Mus musculus: one gene and its partner. The protein of the gene in region 1 interacts with the protein of each later gene in a pairwise test. Links are inferred from orthologs where the notes say so. Each region holds a gene or a part of one and is shown on either strand. Other genes may lie near its edges.

The links. The genes of interacting proteins can lie anywhere in the genome.
Region 2: the proteins of Hoxa1 (region 1) and Efemp2 interact in a two-hybrid assay, tested with the Homo sapiens proteins (2 studies listed by BioGRID and IntAct). The link is inferred for Mus musculus from reciprocal best matches to the Homo sapiens genes HOXA1 and EFEMP2.

Annotation. Positions count from the first base shown.
Region 1 is NC_000072.6:52,155,838-52,159,590, reverse strand, and holds the start of Hoxa1 (homeobox protein Hox-A1), read left to right. Parts: upstream 1-1,273; 5' UTR 1,274-1,369; coding exon 1,370-2,024; intron 2,025-2,501; coding exon 2,502-2,857; 3' UTR 2,858-3,753. UniProt on the Homo sapiens protein: Sequence-specific transcription factor. Regulates multiple developmental processes including brainstem, inner and outer ear, abducens nerve and cardiovascular development and morphogenesis as well as cognition and behavior.
Region 2 is NC_000085.6:5,479,904-5,482,389, forward strand, and holds the end of Efemp2 (EGF-containing fibulin-like extracellular matrix protein 2 isoform 1 precursor), read left to right. Parts: intron 1-126; coding exon 127-246; intron 247-330; coding exon 331-457; intron 458-642; coding exon 643-838; intron 839-1,657; coding exon 1,658-1,819; 3' UTR 1,820-1,951; downstream 1,952-2,486. UniProt on the Homo sapiens protein: Plays a crucial role in elastic fiber formation in tissue, and in the formation of ultrastructural connections between elastic laminae and smooth muscle cells in the aorta, therefore participates in terminal differentiation and maturation of smooth muscle cell (SMC) and in the mechanical properties and wall integrity maintenance of the aorta.

The sequences.
Region 1 (3,753 bases):
CCCGTTGGAAAGGGTCCCATCCACTCAGTCATCTGTCCCTCCCACCTGCCGGTCCTCAACACCCCCCATGCCCCAGTCCACACAGGCAATAGGGGATGGTGGGAAGGGGGGGCTCTTCCACTCCTAACTTGCCTCTCCTGGAAGAGAGAAACTCGACGGGGGAGGTCTGCATACTTTTTAGGAGTTGCCTGTTATCTGCCCTTCTGAGGCCTACCCTAGAGTGAGCATGCTCCTGGGTCTCTAAGAGTTGGCAGATGGCCTGCAGCTCAGGCTCGGCCCTCACGCCAGTCAGCCACGTCTGCTGGCGTCAACAATCTCCTTTGCCTTCTACTCCTTAAACTCCAGTAGCAGAGTTGCCCCGATTTTGCAGGGCTACCAAGAGCAAAGCGACAGAGAAGGAGAGAGGGCAGAGAAGAGAGTGGACACCCGGCCTTTCCCAGAGAGCTGGGTTCGTAGCCCCCCCCACCCCCACCCCCACCCCCGAATCCCGGGACCCTGGGGTCGAATTACAGAAGCTCCCATTGCCATGCTATTGGCCGGCAGGAATCAGGGAAGAGGGCTCTAAGACCCTTTGGATGAGGACAGAAGTTTCTTTTCTTGCTTTGGTCCCCAGCACATTCACCATGGTTCCTCCCAGTCAATCCTCTGCGCACGTCCCTCTACATTCCGAGGCTGGCGAGCCAGTGACGCAACCTCGCCCTAGGCGCCGGGATTCCGGGCTCAGGTCTCTTGCAGGGGTTGGGTAGTGGCGGCCGCCCCGAGCTGAGGGCGTGGTGTCTGTTGGATTCCCACCCTTCCCACCCCGCGTGCTCCCAGCTCCGCCAGGGTCCTTGCGACCACGCAGAGATTTTCGGCCCACAAGATGCCCGCCACAAGAGAGCCAGGAGGCCTCATCCCCTCTCACCTCTTGCCAGTTCAGCTTTCTGGGCTGGGTGGGGAAGGGGCCGCGGAGGGGGCCTCCCATCCCCCCACATCTGGTGGCGGAGGCGCGCAAAGCCGGGCGCGCGCAGAAGGCAGTCTCGACTCCCTTTGGTCCCAGTGCTCCAAGTCAGCTCCGGGAGCGGCCGCTGCTACCGCCGCGGCCCGGGCTGCCTGGGGGGGCGAGCGCGCGTCACCTACACTGAGGAGCGCCGGGGATTTAAATGCCACTGAAACGGTGATCCATCACGGCCGCAGCCGGTAAACTTTCGCAGGCGGCTCAGCCATTGGCTGGTAGAGTCACGTGTCCTCCCCTCGAGCCCTCCGCCTGCCCGCCCCGCCTCTTGCGCACTGTACATTCATATCATTTTTCTTCTCTGGTCCTATGGAGGAAGTGAGAAAGTTGGCACGGTCACCCAGGGCTTCGCAGGATCCAATCACTCAGTGACAGATGGACAATGCAAGAATGAACTCCTTTCTGGAATACCCCATCCTTGGCAGTGGCGACTCTGGGACCTGCTCGGCGCGAGCTTACCCCTCTGACCATGGGATTACAACTTTCCAATCCTGCGCGGTCAGTGCCAACAGCTGCGGCGGCGACGACCGCTTCCTAGTGGGCAGGGGGGTGCAGATCAGCTCGCCCCACCACCACCACCACCACCACCACCATCACCACCCCCAGACGGCTACTTACCAGACTTCTGGAAACCTTGGGATTTCTTATTCCCACTCGAGTTGTGGTCCAAGCTATGGCGCGCAGAACTTCAGTGCGCCTTATGGCCCCTATGGATTAAATCAGGAAGCAGACGTAAGTGGTGGGTACCCCCCGTGCGCTCCCGCTGTTTACTCTGGAAACCTCTCGACTCCCATGGTCCAGCATCACCACCACCACCAGGGTTATGCTGGGGGCACAGTGGGCTCGCCCCAGTACATTCACCACTCATATGGACAAGAGCAGCAGACTCTGGCCCTGGCCACGTATAATAACTCCTTATCCCCTCTCCACGCCAGCCACCAAGAAGCCTGTCGTTCCCCTGCTTCAGAGACGTCTTCTCCAGCGCAGACCTTTGACTGGATGAAAGTTAAAAGAAACCCTCCCAAAACAGGTAAGTCCTGCCGGCTGACAGACAAATGCTGTTCGATTTTTGAAAGGGGCTGGCACACCTAGTTTCCTAGGAAAATGAATGATTTTTAAAAGATTGGTTCTTGTTTATGTCTAATGTCATCTAGAGTTGTAGTGAGTGGTGTAGGGTGCCCAGGTGTGCAGAGGCAAAAGCGTTTCACAGGGGCTGAGGTTTAAATGGTCTATAGTTAGATAGTGTGCGGGGAGTGGGAGGTGGTGATGGTGGTGATGGTGGTGATGGTGATGTCCTGTTAATATCTACAAGGCTCCATTAATCACGAGCCTGATCACACTAATGGTTGACTTCAGGTTAACACTGCTTACACATCGTCACTGGCGCTTCCCGATAGGGTTTGTGCTCGCTGAGTAGTTAACCGAATATTGCCTCAAGCTTGGGGCAATCTGGATAAAGGTTTAAGATTTTTTTTTTAATCTTTTCTCTCTTCCTCCCCTACCCTAGGGAAAGTTGGAGAGTACGGCTACGTGGGTCAACCCAACGCAGTGCGCACCAATTTCACCACCAAGCAGCTCACAGAGCTGGAGAAGGAGTTCCACTTCAACAAGTACCTTACACGAGCGCGCAGGGTGGAGATTGCCGCGTCCCTACAGCTCAATGAGACCCAGGTGAAGATCTGGTTCCAGAATCGCCGCATGAAGCAGAAGAAGCGTGAGAAGGAGGGGCTCCTGCCCATCTCCCCTGCCACTCCTCCTGGCAGCGATGAGAAAACGGAAGAATCATCTGAGAAATCTAGCCCCTCGCCCAGTGCCCCTTCTCCGGCATCGTCTACCTCAGACACTCTGACTACCTCCCACTGAGGCTACTCCAGCCCAACTCTGCAGCCCAGGCTTCTCCCTGGGCTGGGATTTCTTACCCAAAGCACATTCTTAGCTTATCTTCCTTTCTTTACAGACTCTCTCTTCCTTTCTCGTCCCATCTGGGGAGCTCCTGGCCAAGATAAGGTATTTCCAGAGAATTCTGGAGCCTTGGTTGGAAGTTAACTCCTTCATCCACATCGGGTGTCCACATCAATTGCTGATGGCTCCCAACATCCTTTCCTTCACTGTTGTGAGATTTTTTTCTCCCCACAACCTATGATTCCTTTTAGATGTCGGCTGGAGAACAGTTAGTTCCCTTTGCCATCAGACATTTGCAGGAAGGAGGCATCTCTCCTTTTATCTATGTATTGTTCTTCTCCACCTAGCCCTTAAGTAGGACATAGAGGAGAGAGAGTGTCCAAAGACTCATGAAGAAGAGATGCACTGTGTTTACACAATTAATTCACCCCCTAACTTAGCTGGTTTCATGTGTGTGAGTTTGCTGGTTGTAAATGCTTTCCCGTCAGAGATTTATCTTTATACACATTTTATAGAAATATGTAGGTCACTAAATCAAACAGGGTGGACAAATTCTCAAAACTGGTACAGTTCATGTGTGATTATGGGCGAAAGAAGAAAACCTCTTTCATTCAAACAGAGTCAGATGCCTCAGAAGTTGGCCTCAATTGGTTCTTTCAGAGTTAAGAAGGCCTGCCAAGCACTTTGCCTGTGCCAGGTCTTCCCAAACTCTAACCAATTCTTCCTGCTTCTCTGGCCACCCTGCATTTAAAAATCATGCTGGATCATTTGTAACCCAAAGGTATTCATTCTTTCAGTCACCCTTTCCTTCCACACTGTCTTGTATCATGGCTGGATCCAGTGTATTTCCAGCTAAT
Region 2 (2,486 bases), on another chromosome or scaffold:
TTCCTTCTCTCTTCCCACATCCATCCTTATGGGGGTGCTGGGCTCCCTCTCTCTTGGTCAAGGTCTGTGGGACTCAGTTGTGAGGCCTCCCCTTGGCCCAGGGTCCTCATCCCCGCCCTCCCTCAGATATCGATGAGTGCGGCTACTCCAGTTACCTCTGCCAGTACCGCTGTGTCAACGAGCCAGGCCGATTCTCCTGTCACTGCCCACAAGGCTACCAGCTGCTGGCTACAAGGCTCTGCCAAGGTACAGGTGCTTGGGTGGGCAGGAGTTGAGCGGCTGGGAGCTTACTGTGAGTCCTAGAGTCCAACTCCACCTCCCTTGGCACAGATATTGACGAGTGTGAAACAGGTGCACACCAATGTTCTGAGGCCCAAACCTGTGTCAACTTCCATGGGGGTTACCGCTGTGTGGACACCAACCGTTGTGTGGAGCCCTATGTCCAAGTGTCAGACAAGTGAGTCAACCTGATGGCAGTTTGCTGTGGTAACTCCAGAGGTCTGTGGGGCCTACTGGTTTAATCGGGTTGGTGAGGACTCATAATGTCTCATTGGTCTTTTATGCTCGGGCTTTCCTCTTTAGGAGGTGGGTATTTGGGAAATGGGCCCAGCCCTCATTCCTGTCCCATCTTGGGGTCTCTAGCCGCTGCCTCTGCCCTGCCTCCAATCCCCTTTGTCGAGAGCAGCCTTCATCCATTGTGCACCGCTACATGAGCATCACCTCAGAGCGAAGTGTGCCTGCTGACGTGTTTCAGATCCAGGCAACCTCTGTCTACCCTGGTGCCTACAATGCCTTTCAGATCCGTTCTGGAAACACACAGGGGGACTTCTACATTAGGGTAAGGTGCTTCTTTACCCACACTCAACTGACTCAAGTAATCTAAAATAGGAGGTCTGAAGTCATGTAAGTGGGAGCTGCCCTGCCTCTGCTCCCAAAGCCCTGTCCTAGGAAGCAGGGGCCGTGTCAGAAGTCAGAGTTGTCTCCTAGTAAGCACGCTACAGGCAGTTCTAAGGAACAGTCGGTTAGTGGGGTCTTACTCCCAGTACTGCTTTCTCCTGCCTGGCTTTGACTTCCTTATACATAAAACAAGAAATGTAGTTTCTGCAGAGCTGGGATCAGAGACTCCAGTCTGCTGGCAAAGGGAAGGCAGTAGGGATGCTGGCGCAGGTGTGAGGGCTCTTGCACGTGGGTCCTTAAGCTGCCTTAGGCACTGAGATGTTTGGCATCAAAACTTCTTTCAAAATCGCTTTGGGGCTGACCTCCCAGCTCCATGGCAGAACATTCCTCTATTCTTAGGCCCTCAGTTCTTGCTCAGCATCAGTGTCAGAGCGAGAACTGAGTACTCTAGAGGGAAGTGGGACGCCTCTCGGGCACCAAAGTCCCATTATCCCCAAACTTTGAGTCATCAGGAGGTCATGATGGAGGGAAAGTCGAGGCGACTAGGGGGCAGGAAGGAGTTGCCGAGGAGAGCAAGTGGCAGGGTCTCAGATACTGAGGGAGAAAAAGGTCTACAGGTTAGAGCCAGGGAAGGACTTGAGCAGGGGCCTTGTCAGACTTTCCTGACTTCAGGCCACGGGAAGCCGGCTGATGCTGGGGGAGGGTCCTGGCTCCTAGGCTAACACCATCTCTATGTTCTACTGTCCACTGTACCCTGCAGCAAATCAACAATGTCAGCGCCATGCTGGTCCTCGCCAGGCCAGTGACGGGACCCCGGGAGTACGTGCTGGACCTGGAGATGGTCACCATGAATTCCCTTATGAGCTACCGGGCCAGCTCTGTACTGAGACTCACGGTCTTTGTGGGAGCCTATACCTTCTGAAGACCCTCAGGGAAGGGCCATGTGGGGGCCCCCTTCCCCCTCCCATAGCTTAAGCAGCCCCGGGGGCCTAGGGATGACCGTTCTGCTTAAAGGAACTATGATGTGAAGGACAATAAAGGGAGAAAGAAGGAGTCCTGGCTGAGGTGGGTGAGTAACCTCAGCCCGGGAAGGGGCTGGCCTGCGAGAGGGGCAGGTGAGTTCCACACAAGGGGTCCTCTCCAGTCAGGCTGAGGTTTCAGAGCCAAGGTCATTCTTCAGAATCAGCCTGAGCAGTGGGCAGTGGTGGCGCACACCTTTAATCCCAGCACTCAGGGGAGACAGAGGCAGGTGGATTTCTGAGTTCGAGGCCAGCCTGATCTACAGAGTTCAAGGACAGCCAGGGCTACACAGAGAAACCCTGTCTCAGGAGGAAGAAAAAAAAAAAAAAAAAAAAAAGGCCTGAGCAGGGAGTTCTGAAGAGTATGTACCTCAGGTCCTCACTCAAGAGCTTGGCTGATACTGGGCCCAGGAACCATGTTCTGGTCAGTGCTAGGAGTTTGGGGTTAGCATCCTAGCTCTACCCCAAGCTCTGCACTTGTACAAGCCTCTGGTCTCCAGTCACTAGAATGAGGCAGCTGGATTGAGAAACTTTTTGACCGGGGGCCATCTAATTACACTCAAACATACA